2 linked regions of the Nothobranchius furzeri genome follow. The protein of the gene in region 1 purifies or fractionates together with the protein of each later gene. This does not show direct contact. Links are inferred from orthologs where the notes say so. Each region holds a gene or a part of one and is shown on either strand. Other genes may lie near its edges.

Region 1 (3,818 bases):
TGAATAAAATGCTGCTTGTTTCCTGTCAGGTTGAGCTGACTGACATCCAGAAGAAGTACTATCGGGCCATTCTGGAGAGGAACTTTAGTTTCCTGAGTTTAGGAGCCAACAGTAACAGTAACGTCCCCAACCTGCTCAACACCATGATGGAGCTCCGCAAGTGCTGCAACCACCCCTACCTCATCAACGGTAAGGCTGAGGGGCGCCACAAACGATTGTTTTCTTATTGCACCAGGATGCAGCTGCTCTAATTCAGCCATCATTAGTTTCTAGTTTCAAGTGTGATCCGTTATGTGCAAGCTTATCAAGCTTATAAAACAACAGGGCTCTCATGTCCGTCACCAACATGTTTAAAATCGCCCGGTCAGAACCTTTGCTTGTCGACGTGTGCATGTTGGCTAGGTAACAAACTCGTCGAGCGCTTTTTTAATGCTGTAAGGTAGCGAGATACAATCAATCGTTGGCGTTTGTAACGTAAGAGCAAATAGGTGACATACGTGTGCTAAAGGTCACGAAATTGCCATCATTACTGTTGTTGCTACAGCTATGAACACAAGTAGCTCCCTGTTGATGTTAGCAGCTAATGAGAAGTAATTAGCTTACAGAGGCGACTGTCCGTCTTTGTTCTCCGCCATGACGAGCTTCCTTTGAAGGTATTCGTGCATGAACATGCTCCCGTGACAAGATTTAAATGTACGTGCTTCTCTTTTGTCTTTGTAAAGTGCTCCAAACTTTTGAGCTACGTTGCCGGCTTGCCAAGTCTTGTTTTTTCCAGTGACGCGACGGCTCAGCCGGGCGGCCACATGTGCCTCGAACAAAAAGGCAGAAAGCAGCAGTGGTGCTGCAGCGGGCAAAATTTATAAAACGCTTCATAGAATAAATGACGTTGACTTCAATTTATTACCGACTGTTTTGTTTGTTGACGTCATCATGACGTAACAACTAATCGTGGCAGCACTAGTACGGCCTAACATCTTTTAAAAAATCAGCTACCCAATTAATTACTGTTTCCTTTTTCCTTGTTCAGGCGCAGAGGAGAAGATCGTGGCGGAGCTGCGGCAGGTGTATGACCCCCTGGCCCCTGACTTTCATTTGCAAGCCCTGATTCGGTCAGCTGGGAAACTGGTGCTTCTCGATAAGCTGCTGCCCCGTCTGAAGGCTGGAGGCCACAAAGTGCTCATCTTCTCCCAGATGGTGCGCTGCTTGGACATCCTCGAGGACTACCTCATCAACAAGAGGTATAAACATCTACACACATCGTATTTTATCTCTTGATGGTGCAAAGTAACTTTGACATTATTGAAAGTTTGGGGAAACTTTGAAGAAACCTTCATGGGTTTTGTATTTCTCCAGGTACCTTTATGAACGAATTGATGGTAGAGTGCGTGGGAACCTGCGACAGGCAGCCATCGATCGCTTCAGCAAGCCAGACTCTGATCGTTTTGTCTTCCTCCTGTGTACTCGTGCTGGTGGTCTGGGCATCAACCTGACTGCTGCTGACACTTGTGTCATATTTGACTCTGACTGGAACCCTCAGAATGATCTGCAGGTATTGTGATGTACTAACGACGGGTTTTAAAGCTTTCTGTTCTGCCTCCACACCTTTTTCCCTTCTTTTTTTTTTCAGGCCCAAGCGAGGTGTCATCGTATTGGACAGTCAAAAGCGGTCAAAGTCTACCGTCTCATCACCCGGAACTCCTACGAGAGGGAGATGCTGGACAAAGCGAGTCTGAAGCTCGGATTGGACCGGGCTGTCCTTCAAAGCATGAGCGGCAACAAAGACAGCAGCGTCAACGGGGTAACGACTCGCTAGGCTGGTTGCTCACGTCACGTCTCATTGGATCTCTTGTCTAAACAATTTAATGTCATGTTTAACAGCTCCAACAGTTTTCCAAGAAGGAGATTGAAGATCTGTTGAGGAAAGGAGCCTATGCCGCCATCATGGATGAGAATGACGAAGGCAGCCGGTTCTGTGAGGAAGATATTGACCAGATCCTTCAGCGACGAGCCACCACCATCACTATTGAGAGTGAAGGAAAGGGCTCTACTTTCTCCAAAGCCAGCTTTGTGGCCTCTGAGAACCGCAATGACATCGCCCTCGATGATCCTGAATTCTGGGAGAAGTGGGCCAAGAAAGCAGATATAGACATGGATTCTATCAATCAGAAGGTGACGCTTTGGTGTTTGATTTTAATGGAGAGATTTATGGCTCACACAGATGGATATCCTCCTAAATCAGTTTGTTCCCTCCCCCTGCAGAACACACTGGTGATCGACACCCCCAGGATTCGCAAGCAGACCCGTCAGTTCTCCACTTTACGTGGCGAAGGTGGAGACCTGTCAGATCTAGAGAGTGATGACGAATATCCACCTGCTAATTCTAGACATTCGCGTGCTTCTCGCCGCTCTGATCGCCACAGCGGAGGAGGATACGGACGCACCGACTGTTTCCGGGTGGAGAAACACCTGCTGGTCTATGGGTGCGAACATGGTGTTTCCCTTTTATTTCGATGTTAAGCGGTCTTGTTGACGTTGCCTTGCGGGTTTGATCTGCTGTAGGTGGGGTCGCTGGAGGGACATCTTGTCTCATGCCAGATGTAAGAGGCGTCTGAGTGAGCGTGACGTGGAAACCATCTGCCGTGTCATCCTGGTCTTTTGTCTGCTGCACTATCGTGGTGATGAGAACATCAAGAGTTTCATCTGGGAGCTCATCACTCCTCCAGAGAATGGCCGAGAGCCTCAAACACTACTAAACCACTCTGGTATGAGGCTGTCATTTTCTCTTTTCAGTAGTTAAATCAGAAGACTAAATGAACTGTTGACATGTTTTTGTGTTTTTTTTTTTTTATTCAGGCCTTTCCATCCCCGTTCCAAGAGGCAGGAAGGGAAAGAGGGTGAAGGCTCAGAGTACGTTTGATGTGCAGAAGGTTGAGTGGATCCGCAAGTACAACCCTGACACTCTGCTGCTTGATGACAGCTACAGAAAACACTTGAAGCACCAGTGCAACAAGTGAGTGAGGCCAGTCAGACGCTGGTTCATGTCAACGACTTTGATTTAAGCTGAGATGTTTCCTCCGTTGTCAGAGTGTTGCTGAGGGTCCGGATGCTCTACTACCTCAAACAGGAGGTTATTGGTGAACATGCAGATGCTGTCTTGAAAGGAGCTGAGATCAGGTATTTGATGCTTCTTGTTTTATTTAAAGGTTCAGATTCGGTTACTGAGACGCCGTTTGTCTTTAGGGACGTGGACATCTGGATGCCAGAGATGGAGCAGCAGGAGGTGCCTGCTGTGTGGTGGGACGCTGATGCAGACCGCTCACTTCTTGCTGGTGTTTTCAAACATGGTAGAGTTACTTATTAAAAAAAATGAAGGCTGACTTTTTTTGGTTCCTGTTGGACTGGACCGTTTCCTGATGCTGGGACTTGATATTTGTTTTAAAGACGTTGGCGTTTAACTGATCTGATTTTGCAATTGGTTACCAGGTTATGAGATGTACACCACCATGCGAGCCGATCCCTGCCTCTGCTTCATAGAAAGAGTCGGTCGGCCTGACGACAAAGCCATTGATGCTGAGCAGCAAACCGGTGACGCGGAGCTCGGGGATGAGTAAGTTACCGCTGCTTTGTTCTGCCTTTCATAAATTCTACTTTTGTGATTAGAAAGTGGTTCTAACTGCTGATATTCAAACGGGACCCCTCACATTTTCATAGCAGCATCATTCTGTAACCTTCATTGTACTTGGTTAGCATCAAGGTAGCGGAGACTGGTTTTGTGGTTCTAATATTATTCAACAGTAATCTTGGGCTTAATTAAATCT
Region 2 (3,331 bases), on another chromosome or scaffold:
ATCAGCCCGTGAAGGGGAGTTTGAAACAGAATCTTCTCTTCTTCAGTATTTTCTGGACATGTGTATAAGCATTTTGCTCCTTTAGTGTCTTTGCCATTTATCCATTTTCATCTGCTTATCTGGGGTTGAGTCGCCGGGGAAGCAGTCTAAGGAGAGAGGCCAGACTTCCTCTCCCTAGGCGTTCCTTGGCCAGCCGAGAGCATGTCCTGGGTCTTCCTTTAGGTCTTCTCTCGGGACGTGCCCAGAAAACCTCACCAGGGTCCAGGAGGCATCCTAACCACATGCCCGAGCCACCTCAACTGGCTCCTCTCGATGTGGAGGACCAGTGGGTCTACTCCGGATAACTGAGTTTCTCACCCCATCTCTGAGGGAGAGCCAACCACCCTGCAGAAAAAAATAATTCCGGCCGCTTGTATCCACAATCTCATCTACATCTCACTGCCCAAAGCTCGCGACTATAGGTGAGGGTAGGAACTTAGATCGAAATGTAAATTCTGTCGGTTCCAAACATCACCGTTTTCTTCTCCCAAGCTTTTTTTATGGTGTATTGTTGGAAGTTAATGACTGATTCAACAAAGCAGCTGACCTGTCTTCAGTGCTAGAGTGCTGAATCAGCAGATCCTAGTTTATCTTAAACTCCTCACAGAGCCACTCCTCCATCAACTTTGCCACCTTGTTGTCCTGTGATTCAGCGTCTTCCTTCCTTTACACCTGGATCTGGCCTCCAGGTCACCCAGCTTCAACAAATCCTTAGGTTCCTTCAGTAAATCCTGCAGCACACAGTCAGCATCAGAGCTCCTCTACTCACATTAGAGCCGTGTCCACCTTCTCCTTCTGCTCTCCCATCTCTGCACCTATTTTCTATTTGTCCTCCTTTAGCTAAGCCAATCCACGTCTCTCGATCTGGATGTAATGTCTTCCTTTACTGATCTTAGCTCAGCTTGAATCAGACATTTGTAGGTTACCCAGCATAGTTTTCCTGAGTTGACACGAGGGAGCTCAGACCAAGGCTGCGTGTCGCTCCACAGCGCCTGCCCAAGTCCATTTTCATCAGTGCTGTGTATGACCTACAAAAGTTCTAGAACTCAACAATGACTCCCACATCAACTTTTAATAAAATTTCAAACATTAACGCGTGCCTGAACACACGTTGGTTTTCGTTTTCACAGCAGAGAGAGACAGCGATTTCCTAGCTAATCTGGGTTTAACGTCAGATTGTGACACCCACACCAATAAGAAGAGAATCTCTTTACAAACAGAACGTTGTGAGAAGCAGCCTTTACCTGAGTCTGGATGTCATCTCCCGTTACGATGTTGCCTACAGCTCGTAAAGCCGGAGAAACCACTTTGTAGTCGCCATGCCTACAGGAAGCAGAGGGATGAACGCTACAGTCAGGCTGGCTGTTGTAGAACAACCCCATCAGCACCACTCTGTGGTTCTGGCATGCAGCTACAGCAGCACTGTATCCCAGGTTTCAATAATCCTGGTGTTCCAGCTTGAACCAGTTACTCACAAAAGCCAGCACATATCTATTTATTAGCTCATATGAAACTTATAGTTATAGAAATGCTATCAGTCAGCTGGCTCAATCCCAATCCTGCTCAAGATGGATTTCTGTGAAAGATTTACTGACTCATTGTTTTTATAGATATAGTGATAAAGTCTCCAACAGGTGTGTGGATCAGTACAAGACGTCCAGAGAGATGCTGCTTCAGAGGGCAGAAATGTTGGTTTTACTGAAGTGTTTATACTTTTGTATTCTGGGTCCTTTTCTCCTCGTCTTATGTGTAACACCTGTCCCAGTGAAGCTCCAGACCCCTTAGCCTGCTGCAGCCACACCCACATCACAACCACCCAGTGGTCTCTGTTATGCCCCCTTTCATCTGGACCCTCACACAGTTTCTATCAGCTGATTGCATATCTTAATGACCTTGACCCGAACGATAAAACAGGAGCGTCTCACATCAGCAGCTCTACCAGCCTGCGGCAGACTCCAGAGTCAATCACCGCCTGGATCTTTTCATTGGGCCCATCAGAGAGATAAGAGAGGGCCCAGCACGCATCAGCCAGCACATCTGGATCACTGCTGAACAGCAGTCTGGACAGAACGCTGAGACAAGGACACACCTGACACAATAACAACACAAACACACAATTTAGAATTGCAGCTGGATGGAGAAACACAAAGGTCATGTCACCGGAACAGGCTCACCTTGGCAAAATCTGGTGGAGGGTTCTTCCCTCTGCACAGGTTAGAGAGAGCCCACACCGCATTACGGGTGGTTGTGAGTCGGTTCGATTTAACAAGAAGCCTGGAAGAAAAAAAAACTTCCCATTTCTGAAGACCAGAGAAACTCGAGAAGAGGAGAGGAGACTTACTGCTGTAGAGACGGGAGGATGCCACAGCTGAGCACGTAGTCTCTGCACTCAGCATTATCCCCTGCTATGTTCCCTAAAGCCCACACAGCCTGGCGCGTGCACACACACACACACACACACACACACACACACACACACACACACACACACACACACACACACACACACACACACACACACACACACACACGTTTAGTAACAATTAAAACTAAATGCTCTAAAATAAAGAAGCTGCTGATCCGAACATCTCCTGCAGCGTTGGTGTGAGTGTTTGTGTGAAGGAGTTTGGTTTGGTTCTATTCTTCACCAAACTAGTTCAACAACTAAACCACAACGAGATCTTTGATTTCACCACTGAACGTTCTGGCTCTCTTATGGTCGGAGCAAAGAACCACATCAGGAGCTGGAGGCGGCTCAGGGAGACCATCAAAGACATGGAGAACATCTGGTTATAGACTTTAGAAACGAGTTTACCAGAACAGCATTTTTTTAACAGACTAGTGATGTTGGGACATTTGTTTGCAAGATTAACGAGACAAACCCTGCGATGGTGGTTGATAACTGTCTCCCAGCACTGTGATCCTCTACAGGATTCCCTCAACAGGGATGATCAACCACTGTTTAAAGAATACATTGTGACTCTTTGTAACATTTTAATAGTTTTAAAGTTGATACAAAACATGTTCATGAAGATCTTTGCACAAATCGTTGCACATCTCTGTTGTGCAACATCATCAAGATTGGAAACATCCTACAGTGCAAACTCGTCAGTTTTTGTTGTTAGACTTGGGAAAACTCACCTGCTCCTGGACGTCTTCATACTCAGAATTCAACAGCTGAATAAAAATGGGAACAGCTCCTGTTTCAATCACAACCTTGGTGTGCAGGAAGGTTCCAGAGGCGATGTTGGTTAGTGCCCAGGCTGCTTCAAACTGTGAGACACATCATCAG

Evidence for each region.
Region 2: the proteins of chd8 (region 1) and kpna5 purify together in Homo sapiens (affinity purification with mass spectrometry; 3 studies listed by BioGRID and IntAct, with this or other methods). This does not show direct contact. The link is inferred for Nothobranchius furzeri from reciprocal best matches to the Homo sapiens genes CHD8 and KPNA5.

Annotation. Positions count from the first base shown.
Region 1 is NC_091751.1:63,449,257-63,453,074, forward strand, and holds part of chd8 (chromodomain-helicase-DNA-binding protein 8), read left to right. Parts: intron 1-29; coding exon 30-189; intron 190-1,027; coding exon 1,028-1,238; intron 1,239-1,353; coding exon 1,354-1,549; intron 1,550-1,627; coding exon 1,628-1,798; intron 1,799-1,878; coding exon 1,879-2,169; intron 2,170-2,259; coding exon 2,260-2,480; intron 2,481-2,559; coding exon 2,560-2,762; intron 2,763-2,853; coding exon 2,854-3,010; intron 3,011-3,084; coding exon 3,085-3,174; intron 3,175-3,240; coding exon 3,241-3,344; intron 3,345-3,483; coding exon 3,484-3,607; intron 3,608-3,818. UniProt on the Homo sapiens protein: ATP-dependent chromatin-remodeling factor, it slides nucleosomes along DNA; nucleosome sliding requires ATP. Acts as a transcription repressor by remodeling chromatin structure and recruiting histone H1 to target genes.
Region 2 is NC_091745.1:58,613,414-58,616,744, reverse strand, and holds part of kpna5 (importin subunit alpha-6), read right to left. Parts: intron 3,313-3,331; coding exon 3,181-3,312; intron 2,470-3,180; coding exon 2,381-2,469; intron 2,314-2,380; coding exon 2,214-2,313; intron 2,129-2,213; coding exon 1,965-2,128; intron 1,363-1,964; coding exon 1,284-1,362; intron 1-1,283. UniProt on the Homo sapiens protein: Functions in nuclear protein import as an adapter protein for nuclear receptor KPNB1. Binds specifically and directly to substrates containing either a simple or bipartite NLS motif.